Linked DNA regions of Saccharomyces cerevisiae S288C. The protein of the gene in region 1 binds, or shares a complex with, the protein of each later gene. Each region holds a gene or a part of one and is shown in the gene's direction. Other genes may lie near its edges.

Region 1 (5,990 bases):
TTTGGTTCCATCAGCCTCTTTCTGTACGTAAAAAACAACATTTGCATGTACATGTTTTCTAAGTTAATCTGCGACCCAACCCGAATAGCTCTCTTTTACCCTTATTTTCAACCGTCAGCCCCTCTTATTGGTTGGAACGCCTCAATATCAGAGGTCAAAGTCAAGATATCTTGTTATCATCGGTGTTAGTGCCCAAATTGCCAATTGAACGCCTCTATCAAACTGAGGAACAAACCAGCGCTCGCAAAGGAAAACGCGTTTTCTTTTGGCTGCTTTTCTTTCGAAGTGCAGGAACGAGCAGTATTTGGTTGCCATTGTGCGGCACACCCAAGCACACAACGATGCGCTAGGCCAATTGATTCATTACCGTTGGTGTTTCAGGTATTCGTGCTCATCAACGTGACTATTCAGCAACTGAATTAAACTGCTCTTAATAACTTATGTGCACCGTAAGCCAGTCAGTGCTAATGAAGGAATCAATCAGGAGTCGTACAGTGCGTAGGCACACTTTTTTTCCGCAGCTGTTTACTAAGGGTTGTGTAACGTCTGGGTGTGGAGGGGCAATTACCGTAAAGATGCTCTCGAAATTACAATACTACGGTACTTTTCCCCACGGAAAGTTGTATCTCGGAGTTAAAAAGGGAGTGGCACGAGATTCATACAATGGCGTGCAGGCAAAATGATTACTACCGAAATCGAAGCAAGATGATGTTCAACCTTAGGACATCGAAGCTGTACCTCTGCATGAAGTAAGCAGAACAAGGCAAAGTTTAGTTTTTCAATGCTCGCTTCTGCTGGCACTGTTAGTTTGCAGCACATGAGTAGCAGTGGCGCGATTATATCCCCGTTGGGCCATCAAAGCGCAGCTTTTTGTGGTATCAGATAAAATAGTGGTACGCTAAGGCTCTGCGTGAGGAGTTAAGCAATATGCCAAGTATTACTTTGTAGACTTAATTTTAAAATGCTCTTAATTTTAATTTCTATTTTTCTATTTTCTATTTTCTATTTTCTATTTTACTTTTTTTCTTTTTCTGGCTTTTTTTAGTAGTGATATATAATTAGTTTTTCATCTGAAAGATATTTAGGGCACCATTTTCTTTTGTTCTTAGATGCAGATATTCTTTGGCGATTTACCCTGGTGGTACAGAAGATTATGTTACATAATTCATCAATTTTTTTTATGTTAGTTCATCTTCAAAATCTGCTTTAACTGGTTATTATTAAAATATAGTAAATCTAGATCTCTCAATCTGAGTGCTTACCGACTAAAAGCGCAGAAACTGTATTCTTATTATTTTTTTTTTTTCACGGCAGCTAATTGTACTGAGTTATATTAATAGTACTGGAATAACACCAGGTAACGACTAAGGAACCAAATAAAGTATGGACTATAAGCATAATTTTGCTACAAGTCCAGATTCTTTCCTAGATGGAAGGCAGAACCCACTCTTATATACAGATTTTCTATCTTCAAACAAGGAGCTTATATACAAACAACCATCGGGTCCTGGTCTTGTGGATTCTGCCTACAATTTTCATCACCAAAACAGTTTGCATGACCGTAGCGTGCAAGAAAACCTGGGTCCAATGTTTCAACCCTTTGGCGTCGACATCAGCCATCTTCCCATTACCAACCCTCCCATTTTTCAAAGTTCTTTACCAGCGTTTGATCAGCCCGTGTACAAAAGACGCATATCTATCTCCAATGGTCAGATTAGTCAATTAGGCGAAGACTTAGAAACGGTTGAAAATCTTTACAACTGTCAGCCTCCGATCCTATCGTCTAAGGCGCAACAGAATCCCAATCCTCAACAGGTGGCAAATCCAAGCGCAGCCATATACCCAAGCTTTAGCTCGAACGAATTGCAAAACGTGCCACAACCACACGAACAAGCTACAGTCATACCCGAAGCTGCACCTCAAACAGGTAGCAAGAATATCTACGCTGCAATGACCCCGTATGATAGCAATATAAAGCTTAACATACCCGCAGTAGCAGCCACTTGTGACATTCCTTCTGCCACGCCTTCTATCCCATCTGGCGATTCCACAATGAATCAGGCTTACATCAACATGCAACTCCGATTACAAGCTCAAATGCAAACTAAGGCATGGAAAAACGCTCAATTGAATGTGCATCCATGTACTCCAGCCTCTAATTCTTCCGTTTCCTCTTCTTCTTCCTGCCAAAACATTAATGATCATAATATCGAAAATCAATCCGTCCATTCTTCAATTTCCCATGGCGTTAATCACCACACTGTTAATAATTCCTGCCAAAATGCCGAGTTGAATATTTCAAGCAGCCTTCCATACGAATCGAAATGCCCTGATGTCAATTTAACACATGCCAACTCAAAACCACAATACAAGGATGCCACTTCTGCACTGAAAAACAATATTAATAGTGAGAAAGACGTACATACCGCGCCCTTCTCCTCTATGCACACTACAGCAACCTTCCAAATAAAGCAGGAAGCTAGACCCCAAAAAATAGAGAACAATACTGCAGGCTTGAAAGACGGTGCTAAAGCTTGGAAGCGTGCAAGGCTACTAGAACGAAACAGAATTGCCGCTTCCAAGTGTCGACAGAGAAAGAAAATGTCACAATTACAACTTCAAAGGGAATTTGACCAAATAAGCAAAGAAAACACAATGATGAAGAAAAAAATTGAAAATTACGAAAAATTGGTTCAAAAAATGAAGAAAATTTCGAGGTTGCACATGCAAGAATGCACAATTAATGGTGGTAATAATAGTTATCAAAGCCTTCAAAACAAGGATAGTGATGTTAACGGGTTTCTGAAAATGATTGAAGAAATGATACGCAGCTCCAGTCTATATGATGAATAAAAGTATTGCGCATACTTCTTATGGGAGATCCAAATTCCCAGTACATTAGTTTGACTCTCCTTCCTTAATGTTTTCCTCTGTACGATTATTTATGTTTAAACGATTTATTTTACTATGTATGTATTTCCTTTCATTTTCTTTCGGAGTCATATATATTGCTGGGCGGCTAAATGTTTCCGACTTGTAAAAGAAAACATAACAAACATCTTGTAGTTGTGAAACAGTTTCATTAAATAATCTTTTAGAAGAGTAAGGACATGAGTAGAGGCAAACTGGAAGATATGGAACAAAAGGAAACATCGGAAGTTGACTGGATAATCGTACGTGAAATTGTCACATCCTTAACCTATTTTCTCTTTACTAACTTTTAGTAAGAGGTGTAATCTCCTCGAATATTATCTATGACAGTGTTTTGCTTTAATTCAATCCAGGAATCCTACGTTGTGGAAGAGGGCACTTTCAAGAAAGAAAGGAGATGTCGAAGATGTAGGTGCTCTCAAGAGTGAAAAAAATTTAAAAATAAATCCTCGGGAAAACTCAAAACATATATACAAATGGGTTGCGCCTTTCGAAAATGGATTTTTGAATAATAAATCACTGTTTGCTCATCTGGAACCTATATACAATTTCCTTTGCCAGAATAAGTACAAAAGCTTCGAAGATGCAGTTGGTTTAAAGGAGCTGCAATCATTTAGCAAAGATGTATCAACTGCTGATATAAACAACTGGTTTTTACCGAGATATAAAATTCTGCTAAAAATCCTGAGCTTAAAAACAAAAGAAATTGACTTTAGAGGGTTATCGCAAGTGTTTCAAACACTCCAAATCTTGTTAGTTTCTCATTATTCGCATCGCATAGATTCTGATTCTTCTTTTAAGAGGACACTGATAGACGTTCATGTTTTCAATTTCATCGCCAAGTTTCTGTTTAATAGAATTTTATTGAAGAAGAACCAAAACGATCCAAAATGGCTTCAAAACTTTTACGACCAGGGAGATGGCAAACATTTATGTGATAAAGTTGACTACAAGCGCTTGTGTTCGTTGCATTTTACCCTTATTTACTCTATTATTAACATTCAACTCATCAAAATCAAGACAAACCAAACATTTGAACCGCAGATATTAAAATACGTATCTGTTCTGAAATTAATTGAACACATACTTATCATCATCGAAAGTCTGATACATGTACTTATTAGATTTGTATCGAAGCATAAACTAATATGCATCAACCGGAAAAAGGCGTACTGTCGAGTATACCTCGAAAGAGAATTGAGTTTGAAGAAAACCTACTTAAAGAACTTTTACAGTGTAATAAGCGGTGTCCCAGAAAAAGAGTTAGGGGGTCTATTGAAAATACTCAAGATAGTTATTCTATCATTGCTCGAGACATTTGAAAGCATTGAATGGCAGCACTTAAAACCTTTCCTGGAAAAATTTCCGGCTCATGAAATATCGCTTCAGAAGAAAAGGAAATATATACAGGCGGCCTTATTAATTACTGCCGAAAGAAATTTGATAGCGCGCTTTCGATTGTCAAGATGGTTCAATGAGACAGAAAACATTTAATTTTTCTTTTGCAGTAGGAGGCGCATTATAAAACACAAAAATATCGAAAGCTCTTTCATTTCGGGGACAACAACTTCAGTTGAAAATTACAGTGAACACAACATCTTCCCCAACAGACCTACATTAAAACGCTTCTTCCGGACTTGCCCATGATTAACCTAATCTTATACGAACTGAATTAAACTTTACGGTATTACCGATAGGAAACTTCTATTTTATGATTTTTTCGTTCGGGGACGGAACGAACAGGAAACAAAAAAAAAGGTACGATCCATTGTATTCTCTACCCCCGTATATAAAACTAAGCTGAACAAGCCTGTTGTTTTGCTTTACTATTGCTACTATTTTTGACGTAAACGCATTGACTAATTTCAGGTTTTTATATTCTTGACACTAGCTAGACCATAGTATCGAAGGATTCAAATACACTAAAGTATCAGATAATGTTCAGCCTACAAGACGTAATAACTACAACCAAGACCACCTTGGCAGCAATGCCAAAAGGTTACTTACCAAAATGGTTACTTTTCATTTCCATTGTATCAGTCTTCAATTCTATCCAGACTTACGTTTCTGGTTTAGAATTGACACGTAAAGTCTACGAAAGAAAACCCACTGAAACAACCCATTTGAGTGCAAGAACTTTCGGTACTTGGACCTTTATTTCCTGTGTTATCAGATTCTATGGGGCTATGTACTTGAATGAACCACACATTTTCGAATTGGTCTTCATGTCTTATATGGTTGCCCTATTCCACTTCGGCTCTGAATTATTGATCTTTAGAACTTGTAAGTTGGGAAAGGGATTCATGGGTCCATTGGTTGTCTCAACCACCTCTTTGGTTTGGATGTACAAACAAAGAGAATACTACACTGGTGTTGCTTGGTAATTCTGATGTAAGGGCAAGCATATCCTGTAAAAAAAATTATATAGAGATGATTTATTTATATAATGCCTATAGCAACCTTTATCCAAACCTTCCGTACATTATTTAACAGCAATTGTTTATCATTCATGATTATTTCTCAAAAAGCTGCCAATTTGGCTTCATTTCTGTAAGTATCCCTACCTCTCTCCTCTAACGCAGATATTTCTGTGCACGTGATCTCGTTGGCTTTTTTTTCGGCCGAAATTTTCACAGGCTAAGGCCGAAAAAGAAAGAAAATTTTCAGAGGAAAAAGAAAATTAAACGACCTCGAAGCCGTATTTTAGATTTTCCAATCTCTTATTTAGTAACGTGGTTTATTAACTCCATGATTCCATTCCTATTTGTTTTTCTTTCTTTCTGAAAATCCTCTTCTCCTCGAAATAACCCAACTGACAAAAAGAACAATTCCCAATGTCTGCTCCAGCTCAAAACTACAAAATCGCTGATATCTCTTTGGCTGCCTTCGGTAGAAAGGAAATCGAATTGGCTGAACATGAAATGCCAGGTTTGATGGCCATCAGAAAGGCTTACGGTGACGTCCAACCTTTGAAAGGCGCCCGTATTGCTGGTTGTTTGCACATGACCATTCAAACTGCTGTTTTAATTGAAACTTTAGTTGCTTTGGGTGCCGAAGTT
Region 2 (4,934 bases), on another chromosome or scaffold:
GTTTTCCAGACGTTCAAACCGTCAGTACCGGTACTTACTAAACAACCTGGGATTTGCTTATGCCATTTGACATCTTTAACTTCCTTTTGCCAGTGAACAAACAATAATTGTGGTGGAATTTCTTGTAGCTCTTTTGTTTCGGCGGCCTGTTGTTTAATTTCCTCATCGTCAGCTTCTACAGACAAATCCCACAAAGTCACAGTATTATCTTCTGAGCCTACCGCAACGATAGACTCATCTAATGGGTTGAATGCAATGGAAGTAATGGCTCCCTTATGGAAGTCATATTGAGCAACCGGTTGGACGGCGTCAGCATTACTTGGCGTAAACTGTCTTAAATCCCATACTCCCCATGTACCGTTATCGTCACCGCTTGCTAGCAAGTAACCAATTTTATCACTCCAACTTATGACATTTACGTCAGTATTAGAAGCTTTAACAGAGATAGCAGGTTTATGTTTTTTTGATCTTGTGTCCCAAATCCTTATATATCCATCACATCCTGCGGTTGCAAAAACGGTGGATTCAGTGCGAGACCACTGGATATCTTCTATGGATTTATTGTTTGAAACAGTAAATGGTTGTTTATCAGTCACCCATCTCGATGTGTGCCTTTGGGTAAAATATATTTGTCCTGAGCAATCACCTGATAGTAACGCACCAGTCTTGATCAATGGTGACCAATCCAACCCGTAGCCTTCAACATTCCCATGATTTTTTACAGTGTGAATAGGACGCTTAGCAGACTTCGGAATCTGATAACCTGGTGTGGAAAAAGCTTTGCTTTGTGGAGCTAGATTGTATATATAAACATCACCATTTTCGCTCATTGTAGCGGTTAACACCTCTTGATTAGAAATGGCAAAAGGAGAAACCTTTAATCTATTGGTTGTATCTCTCAATGGTATATTTTCATTCTCAATGACTGGATCCACATCATCTTCATCATCCTCTTCATCATCTTCACCTTCATTATCGTCTTTCAAAAGTGTTTTCGCTAAATTAGAAAGTGCTAGAACCATTAGTTCATTCTCCTTTTTCCTGGAAGATTGAGTAGCCGTGGTCAACAAAATAGACTGTGGATAGTTTCTACGTTCAGAACCTAGTGTATCTGGAATGACATCTAATGTCAAGCATGGCCATGGCATATTGACATTATGTAGCATTTCATAAACAGTGGGATCAGCCTCAAGGACTTCATCTGGCCCTAATGGACGAGACATATGGGGTAAGTAAAGCTCCTGGATCTTTTCTTTGTTGCCTTCGGATTGGTCCTTTTGTACTAAAGTTTCAGCTTCTTCTTGCTTTTTCCTAAGGTCATCTTCGTCATTAATCTCATCATCGCCATCAATTTCAATAATTTCACCATCACTATCAAATTCATCACTCAATTGTTCTTCTAGGTCATTCTTGGGAGCATCTTGCTCTTCAGAGGCGGGAATAGCAGGAACAGAGTGAGATTCTGTTTTAGCAGAGACCACTCTATCTTGTTCCTCGTTGACCTCGATAGACCTTTTCGACATTATGGTGCTATTTCCGTGTATATGAAAACGGAGAGTAGGTGATATAACTATTTACCTACAAATTCAAACAACTACAATCCCTATAAGAAATGATCATCTCATCGCTAAATTCAGTTGGATTTTATTTTCTGTATTTTTCGCTGAAAGGAAAAAAATTTTCACGGCTCGAACGAAAAAAGAAACGTGATCACGATGTAAGTACAAATGGTACTCTATTTTGAAGCGTCTACGTTATGTAGATGATATCATACTTCCAGTTGCATATCGTCAGTAACCTCATCTTTAGACTGTTTGTTCTTCTTCTTTTGGTTTTTTTTCGCTACTTTCCTTAGCTTTTCTTCTTCAATAAGATTTGATCTATTCGACTCAATATAGTTTACAAAAAAATCACCATTTTTGGTCTTCTTTGCTTCGTTAAGTGTAGCTTCCACATTATTAAATAGTTCTACCCTTGTCTTGGCCAGTCTGTTTAGTATTTTGTTATCTCGTGCTCCGCATTCCATTTTTCTACATTGTCTTAGAGACTTAAATGATACTTCACCGGGATTCATATACCTGTTTTTTCTCAAGTTATGCCATGGTGTTATCAAGATGGTGCATTGTGGCATTTTGTTTCCTTGAATGGATTCTGATTTACATAGCTGCAGACAGTCACATATCACTTCTTGCGGTATGTCATCGATTGTTTTTTCATTTGGGCGTAACTTTAAATAAACATGACCACTTGAGTACTTATCCGCGTGAAACCAAACATAGTTTAACTCCCTATAGCTCCATTTGATAAGTAGATCGTTTTCAAACTTATCTTTGCCCATCACAATTTGGTAAGGTGTTGAATACTCAGTTGGTTTTGATTCATAGAAATACACCATTGTTATTGAAAAGTTGAATTTCAATTGAGCCTTATAATTCTATTCGCTTACTTTCTAAATTTTAAGTATAAGGCAGTCCTCTGGTCTACAGAGTTGTTTTGTTTTTTTATCCAAGTTCTTTGTTTCAATCTTATTGTAGTTTTTTTCCATTAAAATATTAAAGCCTAGGATAATCTATATCCTAAACTAAATATAAATTAAGAGTATAAAAGATGAAAGTAAATAGCATCTAGCATTCAGAAAAAATAAGAAGTCTCTTTTCAAATGATTGATCGAGCACAACGAATGTTTTCAAACCACTGTTAATTTTTTTATAGATGTAATGACTACTTATATGTTCTACGATGTGATTTTGTAGGAATAAAATAAAATTCAGTTTACCGTCTGCATATTCATAAACACTTAAATGACTGTTAAAGTATTCAGTATTTTAAATAATAATAACATAAATTATTAATACATACTTAAATACGAAGCCCATTTTGGTGGGTTCCTGAAAGAATATCAACTTTTTTTTACTAATAGAGAATTTCGTTACAAGGTGGGCGGCTAACTTATAAAAAGCAAAGGAGAAGGTTTTAACATATCGTCAAGTTAAGTTTGAAAGAGAGAACTAAAATAAAAAAAAAGAGAAAAATGTACGAGTACTGCTCAGTTGTAATAAAGAAATACTCCAAGTATACAATTCCCTCCTTCGCTCCAAATGGTTTTCAATCAATGCTTGAGCCTCCTCAGATAGACAAGTGGCAACACCTTTCCGCTAACTGCACTCTCCAATTTCGGGTTCTTCTAATGGACTCTAGACAAATTCTGATCAATGTGGTTCTCAATAATTCAACACTTCTCGAAAATATTCGCCTGCCGCTGGGGGATAATCAAGATTTAATACAATTTTCATGTAAAAGCCCCATAATCTCTTGTAAATATATCTCCGAAGAATTCGGACCCAGAATGTTAAGGAGGTTTCAGATGAATTTGCCAAATGACGTTGAGTTCAACAGGACTGTAGTTTCTTTAAAGAACCTTAATTTTGTTTTAAGGACAGCTAGGACATCAATAGCCCAGAGTACAATAACAAGCCAGGTGCAAGGCAATAATAACGGTACAAAGGTCTGTTTCACAGAAGGTCCAAAAGTTAGTAGCTACACAAATCCGAACACGCAATTTCAAACTCAAAACATGATTATGGATTTCAGTCAACGTTATCAGGAAGAATCTGAAAGAGAGTCAAATAATCGTTCAAATATAACTTTACCACACGACAGCATTCAAATAGCTCAACAAATATGGCCAAACACGGATTTAAATGTAGTACAATCTTCACAAGACCTCAACACTCCAATGGCTACGCAAACTGTTTTGGGTCGTCCTGAGTCGCTAATTGTACAGCCATTGGAGGTTTCTCAATCTCCACCAAACACTACCAACTGCCTTCCTAATGCAGAAAACAAAAAGAAAAAAGTCGACACCACTTCTGATTTTACTTCAAGAAAGGAGATTGCTCTGTGTAAAACTGGTTTATTAGAAACTATTCATATACCAAAGGAAAGGGAAAGTCAGATGCAAAGCGTCACTGGTTTAGATGCAACACCAACGATTATATGGAGCCCCGGGAAAGACAACACGGCGAAGAAAAATACCAGTAATAAGAAAAATATTGATGATAAACTAACAAACCCCCAAAAATCTGGAAATACACATACCCCTGATAGAAATAAAGAAGTGCTACCTAACGGCACACTTAATGAAACGAGGAAAGAAGCATCGCCAAGCGAAGGATTAACGATAAGAGTTAAAAACGTTAATCGGAATGCGTCAAGAAAAATATCTAAGCGGCTAATCAAGGAAAAGTTGAAAGACGAAGAATTCATGAAATGGGTATGTATGCATTTGCAAGAAACTGAGCTGTTTCCCCCTCTTATCCACTCATTTTCTCTGACTTGACAAAGAAATACTAACTAACAACTTTTGCCACTACAAATATGAATGAAAAGGTTAATAAGGTTGAAACGGTTCTCAATAAAATGTTCGAAAAGTGAACCCTTTTTTTGCAATTCCTTTTTACACTAGCCACGAAGTAAAATGGAAAAGTAAACCCGAGTTTCGGCAATATCGCTAAGCAAGAAGAGCAAGCTCGTTTAAGTAAGCCTTTATGAAAAAAAAACAAAATATAAAGCATTATAAAAATTGAATCACATCGCAAATCTGCAATATACTTGGAAGTGTTTATAGCAAAGTGTGGTATAGAAAAAGAACCAAAGGCCGGTATGTCGTTAAAGGATAGGTATCTAAATCTCGAATTAAAATTAATAAATAAACTACAGGAGTTGCCATATGTTCATCAATTTATCCATGATCGAATAAGTGGTAGGATAACTCTCTTTTTGATAGTGGTTGGTACGCTTGCATTTTTTAACGAACTGTATATAACGATCGAAATGAGTCTTCTACAAAAGAACACATCAGAAGAACTAGAGCGTGGAAGAATCGATGAAAGTCTGAAGCTTCATCGGATGTTGGTGAGTGATGAATATCACGG

Evidence for each region. Proteins that work in one complex are often made in the same cells at the same time.
Region 2: MEI4 (region 1) and REC114 share a complex: the UniProt entries of both Saccharomyces cerevisiae proteins name them as parts of the MER2-MEI4-REC114 complex.

The regions. Positions count from the first base shown.
Region 1 is NC_001137.3:236,895-242,884, reverse strand, and holds MEI4 (Mei4p), read left to right. Parts: upstream 1-3,110; coding exon 3,111-3,173; intron 3,174-3,261; coding exon 3,262-4,425; downstream 4,426-5,990. Other genes in the region: ACA1 (Aca1p), read left to right, coding at 1,384-2,853; ERG28 (Erg28p), read left to right, coding at 4,869-5,315; SAH1 (adenosylhomocysteinase), read left to right, coding at 5,766-5,990. UniProt on the Saccharomyces cerevisiae protein: Required for meiotic induction of recombination, viable spore production and chromosome synapsis. Component of the MER2-MEI4-REC114 complex which seems to be required for meiotic double-strand break (DSB) formation.
Region 2 is NC_001145.3:533,176-538,109, forward strand, and holds REC114 (Rec114p), read left to right. Parts: upstream 1-3,031; coding exon 3,032-4,273; intron 4,274-4,389; coding exon 4,390-4,434; downstream 4,435-4,934. Other genes in the region: ribosome biosynthesis protein RRB1, read right to left, coding at 1-1,523; JLP2 (Jlp2p), read right to left, coding at 1,769-2,395; ERG29 (Erg29p), read left to right, coding at 4,663-4,934. UniProt on the Saccharomyces cerevisiae protein: Required for the production of double-strand breaks (DSBs) in meiotic recombination initiation; not required for mitosis. Plays a role in activation of the DSB nuclease SPO11 at recombination hotspots.